2 linked regions of the Arabidopsis thaliana genome follow. The protein of the gene in region 2 interacts with the protein of the main gene of each other region in a pairwise test. Each region holds a gene or a part of one and is shown on either strand. Other genes may lie near its edges.

Evidence for each region.
Region 1: the proteins of CKB4 (region 2) and PYL10 interact in binary tests that used the Arabidopsis thaliana proteins (3 or more experiments, as listed by UniProt).

What each region holds. Positions count from the first base shown.
Region 1 is NC_003075.7:13,899,190-13,902,743, reverse strand, and holds PYL10 (PYR1-like 10), read right to left. Parts: upstream 1,603-3,554; 5' UTR 1,525-1,602; coding exon 1,402-1,524; intron 1,320-1,401; coding exon 1,101-1,319; intron 1,015-1,100; coding exon 805-1,014; 3' UTR 744-804; downstream 1-743. Other genes in the region: SDG16 (SET domain protein 16), read right to left, coding at 2,488-2,578, 2,668-2,768, 2,850-2,924, 3,012-3,098, 3,188-3,277, 3,371-3,430, 3,516-3,554. UniProt on the Arabidopsis thaliana protein: Receptor for abscisic acid (ABA) required for ABA-mediated responses such as stomatal closure and germination inhibition.
Region 2 is NC_003071.7:18,425,873-18,430,580, reverse strand, and holds CKB4 (casein kinase II beta subunit 4), read left to right. Parts: upstream 1-2,183; 5' UTR 2,184-2,414; coding exon 2,415-2,637; intron 2,638-2,731; coding exon 2,732-2,950; intron 2,951-3,035; coding exon 3,036-3,145; intron 3,146-3,215; coding exon 3,216-3,381; coding exon of another isoform or gene 3,382-3,425; exon of another isoform or gene 3,426-3,549; coding exon 3,550-3,683; 3' UTR 3,684-4,100; downstream 4,101-4,708. Other genes in the region: ARAC9 (RAC-like 9), read right to left, coding at 1-46, 148-213, 309-373, 479-542, 643-752, 998-1,085, 1,171-1,305. UniProt on the Arabidopsis thaliana protein: Plays a complex role in regulating the basal catalytic activity of the alpha subunit.

The sequences.
Region 1 (3,554 bases), on a different chromosome or scaffold from region 2:
GTTTGATCTTTCTCAACATCTCTGGAACTTTGAGGACGTACAGATCATAACAGAATTCCAGATGAGAGCATCTTGGGTTTACCTTAAACTAAACCGTAAATTTAACTAATATCAATTGTTATTAATCTTTTATATATATATATATATATATATATATTAGTATATGAAAACATGAAATAAATTCTTATATCATATTATTTAATTTTTATACTTTAATCAAATCTAAAAGTTCATTAAAATTCTATTAATTTTATGTTTATACATAAGTTTATACGATTTATATAATTTAATTTAAATAAGTTATTTATGTGAGTTTGATATACTTTGTACCTAATTAAATTGAAATTATTTAATTAATAAGTTCAAACATGTCAAAAAATTTAGAAAGAATTAATGCATGATTATAAATTCTTAAATACATTAAATTAAATAAGAAATGTAATTCATATGTTGATGTGATAAGTGTCACTCTATCTAATGCTGATATGTCGAAAAAATGGAGAGAGTTGAAAAAACTTTCATAAATATGATTTTGCATGTGTCATGATATGTTATTTATATTTTCATGTGGAAATGTTAAAAATAAAAAAGCATTTCATATAAACACTTACAAATTTGAATTTATATTTCTCGTTTGACAGCTATTCGAAATCATTTCGTTACAAACTTCCAATAATATACAAACATTCAGAAAATGGAAATAGAAGAAGAAAAAACATAGACATTGCTATAAAAGGGAAGAGTTATTTCTCTTCTTTGGTCTTTTTCCTTCTTTTCCGAATGAAAAGATTCTCAAGTCACATCTCATATCTTCTTCTCCATAGATTCTGCTTGTAGACGCTCGGTAACATCTGCTAAAGAATTGAGATTGCATTGAATCAAAGCCTCCACGAAGAAGCATGTCTCCTCCTTTGTGTTACCTTCCGGCACATCCACCACGAACGATTCTATAGCCAATGTCCCTGTTTTTCCGTCTATCGTCTCCGAATGTAACGAAATGGTTGAAGAATAATTCTGATTGGACAAATAACAAATTAAGCTCTAAAAAAAACAATAATCTTGTCGGAATGAATGGTACATTTAAGGAAATTTCAATTTACCTTGAGTCTATGATCACCACCAACTATTCTGATGCCGAGAATATGCTCATTGTCGTCAAGAATCTCTAATACCTCAGTGCTTTTAGTAGCTGGTAATCCAGATTTCAAATCCACTTCTCTTACGCTACCAACCTCCAGCTTCTTACCTTGTACCACACACCTACTGATAAATGGTTTGTATTTTTGTGGTTCATCGAATCTCCTCACAATTGACCACACCTTTTCCAAACAAAACAAATCATTTAACATCTCAAAAATCGTTATCTTTAACACTTGAAAAACAGAGCAAAGCAAAGCTTACGAGATGCAGAGGAGCTTTGATGTGCTTAACGAGCGTAGAGCTACATTGAGACTCTACAAGCTCGTGTCTATGGTGTTTCTTGATGTACTCGCTCTCCACCTTCTTTGTTTCGTCACCGTTCATCGTTATCTTAAATAGCAGCAATTTAAATAATTTTGATTAGACAAAAATTATTCGTGCCTTTAGTTTTTTTTTTTTTTCACTCAATAGTAGAACCACTGTACCAGTGTGCAGCTATTTAAAGGATGCTCTTTTATATTGACGAATATAGCCTTCCAAGTTTCTATGAGTGAATTCATTTTTAACTTATATCTGTATTCCCATTATCTTGGATTATGATCCGACATGTCAAGTACAGATGGACGGATTGTAAACATTAATGTGGAGGATTGTAACATTATTTTTTCCTATTTCTTTGAAAAATATCTCTCTATCAAATGCTTTAAGTTTAACACATAACCACAAAATCTTTAGAATGTTTCAGAATTGCTCATATACAGTTTGACACCGAAACATTTTTTCTTATGGGAATTGTTATCCGTTATGCAATTTACCTTGTGTGGCTTTGAACATATCTGAAGTATAGATAAGAGTCAATCCATATTCGCATCAATTGGGCCGTCAAAAACGCTTAAAAGTGTTTTAAGAAAACCATTACGAGATCTTTTATCAGCAGCAAACTACAATTCGTCTGACATGGCACTTGACGAAAGCACGATTCATAAACCGGCGCGAAAGGAAAATCAATTCCCAATTGAATTGACTCATCACCTTCGCGGTATAACCGTAGTAAACCGATGGTTATAGGGTAAAACGGTCACAACAGTTGGAATTATCCCAAGTTTTCTGCTCAAGTCTCGTTGAAATGAACAAAATGAATGAAATTGAATTCTTTTGAGGATAATGGTGACACAAACGAGTTTGTCTATACAGAGAGGCAGAAGAGATCAGACTTGGATCACTTAGCTTTTCTCTCTACCTATAAATCTATTGTTTTTGGAGCAAAAAGAGACAATCTTGCTTTGGCCTTTTCTTCTTGGTGTTGTAGCCTGTGAAGTAAACTTAGAGGATCTATACCTTTCTATTCTAATTCATGAATTTCCTGCAGTTAGGGGCTTTACATAAGCATGGCACCTTGAGTTCCTCTGCCTCGTCTGGATCAAATAAGTAATCATACCTGCCAAAACACCACACAACATTTCTTAAACTATGACAATCAATCAGCTTTAGATTGAAGAATGGTATATATAGAAATGCGTTGTGTACGTTAACTCCTCTCCCACAGCTACATTGGCCTTGGCTATCAGGACAATCCTGCTTTCCTCATCTCCTACACTCATAATCCTCGCATAGCAGTTTGGTGTACACTACACACCACGTATTTTGATTTAGGCTTTAACAGTCTGTCAAATTTCTTGTACGTAAAAAGTCCATGCCAAGCAGCTTACCGAATGATTGATGAGCCGAGCTATATTCCCTTTATCTGTAGCATCAACCACTACTTCTTCACTGATCTTGAAAAGCTGCAACATAAATCCTTCTTTTGGTTAAGAGAGATAGAGAGAGAAGAGACAATTTGTGAAGATAAAATGGAAACTTTTTCAACTCACATAGCAATCCTTTCCTACTCTGCGATAACGTGCTTCTCTCAAGTCTGCAATGCTACCTCTCACCTGTTCCCCTCTGTATTCAAGAACCTGAAATACAATAGCACCTCTCGACAATAAACACTCCCCTCATCCCAAATAGACCAAACACAATATCACAAATGGGTCTGCTGACATACCATTTCTCCTTCTTGGATATTTCTTCTTGCAAAAAGACCCCATCCATGAATTCCAGATCGCCCAAAGCAGACCCGATCCATTTCTGTCCTCTGTTACATTAAACATACACATGTTACAGCCGATAATATCAAAAAATAAAACCTGAACATTCCAATCTCGTTCAAACATCAGAGAATTCTTGCCTGCAAGTGGTGAAGTCGTTCCCTGAAAGAAGAAAACGATTTGGGTTCTTCTGGCACATGCTACACATAATACAACCCAGAAATGTCAGATCCAAAAAATAATAGTAAGAAACGGAGTAGAAGAACTGCATGGAGACTTTCTTACTCTGAATGTGTTTAAAGTTTGGATTGCTGCTGATGCATG
Region 2 (4,708 bases):
GATGTAAAACTACTTTGATCGCTTCATCAAACACGGCTTTTACGTTCTGCAAATTTAGCATCATCATAAGTCTTTCTTTATCAGATTGAGGTCCAAAATATTTGGTCTAATTGTAAAATGTAACTCAAGCATTAATGGTTACTTTACCATTTGTGCTTTTGAGCTGCACTCTATGTATGCTAATGCTCCTATTTCCTTTCTTAGTTCTTGACCCTATAAAAGAAGCAATCTTTGAGTTATAAAAGAGTTTGATTCTTAACATGGTTCTTGATCATATACATTGAAGAAGAATCTTTAAAAAAACATACCTGTTCTGGGAAGATTGTGCAAGCACCTGGATAATTCTTTGGGAACTGCATGTTGTCTCTTAGATCTGCAATATCAAGAAATTCATCTTATATACTACATAACATCACTTACACATTGATGTTAGATTCCTAACATTCAAGACATAACAGAGTGGTTCATTATCTTCAACCTGATTTGGTTCCCACAAGAACAATAGGCACAGTCGGGGCATAATGTCTCAGCTCGGGTACCCACTGCGAAAGAAAACCGATCCATATGCACATGAGATCAGTGTTGTAAAGTTAAATTACAGTGAAATTAAAAGTAAAAGGAAAGATAATCTCAAGTCTCAACCTTTTTAGCAATGTTCTCAAAGCTAGGCCTGCTAATAAGTGAGAAGGCAAGAATGAAAACATCTGCTCCTCTGTAACTCAATGGTCTAACCCTATTGTAGTCTTCTTGACCTGTAATATAATGTGAATCACCCAAAAGATATATAACACAAGAATCATAATTGGTCTCATTTAAGTTTTGAAGAAACATGAGCAAAATCTGATAGTGAATTCAAGAACCAAAACAATGTTGCATCAAAGATTCAAATTTTTCAACTGACTTCTTTTAAAAGGACCAAAAGATTAGACCTTGACATATTGTTGTAGATATAAAGCTAAAGACAAGAACAACTTTGACATTAGGTAAAAGCATTTACCAGCAGTATCCCAGAGACCCAGATTGACAGTTTTACCATCGACTAAAACATTAGCATTGAAATTGTCGAACACTGTTGGAACATAATCCTGTAATAACAAGATCTCAACAGTCACCAAAAGCTATCAAGAAAAGCAATCCAAAAGAGAGAGAGGGAGAGATGGATTTATATACAGTGGGGAACGTGTTGCTGGTGTAGGAAATAAGAAGACAAGTTTTGCCCACAGCTCCATCGCCAACAGTGACACACTTTATAAACGTTGTAGCTGTTGCTGATGATGTTGATGTTGCAGCCATTGAAGCTGACATTGATTGAGAAAATTCTCTGATTTTACTTACCCTGTTCTCTCTCTTTCTGTGGTTTTATTCTGGTTCAAGTGAAGAATGAGAATGAGACTTGAGTGGTAAAAAAGGAGTCAACTTTAATTTGAGCTGTCAGAGAGCCAAAACGCCTTAAAAATAATTTTTTATTCGGTGGGTTTGATTTCTTTCCTATTTTTTGAATTTAGATAGATTTTGCCATATTTTACTTCTTTCCAAAAAAACTCTAATTGGTAACACATAGCTGTACATAACTTTTATCTGTTAACTTTTTTTGAAATAGTATAAAATTACTAAAAAACAGTTATATTAAAAAAAATGTATAAAAAAGCTGAGAGAAAAATCTTTTAGTAACGCTTTTGATAAAAAAAATTATAATTGGTAGAAATGAAAGTTGTACAAATTATAGTGCTTTGTTTTTTTCACCAATCAATGCAAATGCAAAGGTCCAAATGTTTCAGCAAAATGAAAATAAGTGGTGGTTATATCAAATCAAATTTTGTAAATTCAGTTACATTTACATGACTAATTTTACAAGATGTGTAATTTTAATTATCTCTAGATCATTTGTTTTTTTTTTCGATTTAAGTTTGGACAATGGATCGACCACCAAACACATCATCATTAACAAAGATGGAAAGGCAAGTCCATTATTACTACCGTGTTGATACAAAAAAAAATGAATTTTATGATTTCTTTCTTCCTAAGATATAATTTGGAATCATAGTTTAAGTACAAAAAAATGTTTCCTTCTACGTGAATCTTTGTATTACAACTGTCAGTGTCATAAGGCCCATCCGAAAAGCCCATTTCTAAATACTAGAATTTTAAAAAATTAAACAATGATTAAAAAAAAAAAAAAAAACAAAGAGAAGAAAACAAAACAGTAGAGAATGAGAAAAAACCACAGGGAAAAGCAGAGCACTCTTTATCTCTTCTTCTCTCTTTCTTCTACTCTGTGATCAAACTATCGAAGAAAAAACAAACCCTAGATTTATCCGCCCCTCTTCTTCCTCTGATGATAAGAAAGTCGAAGACTTTGAGAATCTAAAGCTGAAAAATTTTGTTTTTTTTCATTGAGGGAATCGAATCGAGTTATGTACAAGGATCGGAGTGGAGGAGGAATAATGGGTGGTGGTGGATCATCGAGATCGGAGATCCTTGGTGGAGCTATTGATCGGAAACGAATCAATGATGCTTTAGACAAACATCTTAAGAAATCTTCACCTTCTACATCTAGGGTTTTCACTTCTAAGGACAAAGATTCTGTCCCTTCTACTTCAACTGCTAAATCTCAGCTTCATTCTCGTTCCCCCGATGGTTAATTGCTTATATCTCACTCAATTTCAATTTCATGTGGTTTTAGTACTTTCTGATTTGGGTATTAATAAATTTTGATTCTTTGTGGATGCAGTTGAATCTGACACGGATAGTGAAGGATCAGATGTGAGTGGTTCAGAAGGTGATGATACCTCTTGGATCTCATGGTTTTGTAATTTGAGAGGGAATGAGTTTTTCTGTGAAGTAGATGAAGATTATATACAAGATGATTTCAATCTCTGTGGTTTGAGTGGTCAAGTTCCTTACTATGATTATGCACTTGATCTCATTTTAGATGTTGAATCATCAAATGGTAAGTGAAGGGTCCATTTGATGAATTTAGGCTTTACTTTGTCTGAGAATTGTTGTATAATTTGGAGGAATGTTTATTGGATTAGGTGATATGTTTACTGAAGAACAGCATGAGATGGTGGAATCAGCTGCTGAGATGTTATATGGTCTTATTCATGTTCGTTATATTCTCACTACTAAAGGAATGGCTGCTATGGTAAGCAAGATACTTCTTCTACATCTTTGTTTCTGATTGATCTTTTGAATGATATCTTTCTCTTTTGTAGATGGAGAAGTATAAGAATTATGATTTCGGGAGATGCCCCAGAGTTTTCTGTTGCGGACAGTCTTGTCTTCCGGTTGGCCAATCTGATATCCCGAGGTCGAGCACTGTGAAGATATACTGCCCAAAATGCGAGGATATTTACTACCCGCGATCTAAATACCAAGGCAGTATCCTTTGCTCCTCTGTTCAAAAAAGCTTTATCTTGTCATAATATGATGCATCTGCTATTGTTTGGTTAAACATTGCGATTAGCTAGTTTGTTTGCATTAAATCTTTTAGAAGATAAAGAGTGTTGTCCACTTGTCTTAGTGTTCTTTCCTTAATGCTTATTGCAGACATTGATGGAGCTTACTTTGGAACTACTTTCCCTCATTTGTTTCTCATGGCCTATGGGAACATGAAACCGCAGAAGCCGGCTCAAAACTACGTTCCTAAGATCTTTGGCTTTAAGGTACACAACAAACAATGATACTCTCTCCTCTCAACAGTCTTGTGGTTGAATACAATCTCGGTGGCTAAACCACCATTCTTCTGATGGTCACGGGTTTGAAATGGATGATACTAAACTGCGTTTGGAGGATGAGAAGAGCTAATGAAGAAAGGTCGACACTTAAAAGTTTTTCACTATGTAATCTCAAAAGTTCTAAGTAGAATCTTCAACATAGAACCGTTCTTTGATGGGTCTTGGGAAATTCTTTACCTGTGAGTAATCAATTAAATCATTTACCAGATGGATGGATTTTGCTTTGCTTAACTGTTGTCTATAATTGCTGAAAATTTAGGGTGTATCCTACTTATCTTAAGTTTCTTGTGTTGTACGGAACTAATCTTCATTTTTCAATCACTATTAACCAAAACAAATCTGAAAACAAAAGATAGATGGAACAAGAACCTAATGAAAACCAGATTTTGACATTCTGTAATACAAAGATATAAACACTTGAAACTCGGTCTAGCTCTGGTAAAGTTACAGGTCAAGAAGACTACAATCATTGAGTTATACAGAGGAAGAGATGTTTTCTTTTTTGGTTCTGAATATCAAATTCTTCATAGAAAGTGGGAACTGTCAATGTCTTAACCTAATATATGGGATCTTGAGAAGCCCATTTAAGGCCCAAAAAAGCTGTCACTGTTACACATTTAAAAGATTCCCCGGAGTTCTTAGTTAGTTGCCTGCCGTAAAATGCATACCGCCAAGAGCAGTCGAACTGACTAATTTGTTCAATGCGAATAACTATAAAAGCCAACAAATCTTAACACCACCAGTTTGAATAAATTTTGTCGATTTCTAAGACACCATTACGATCACACGCAGATACAGAAATTGAATTTATATTTATTAAGAACATAGTTGTTATGCTCTGTTTATTATGGAACATCGAACAAAATTTCAACCCCAGATTACAAAACCATCACATCACACAGCCAAAATTATTAGCATCTTTCTTTCTCTCTGCCCCCAAAACTCCACATTCATTTACATAAACCAGATCT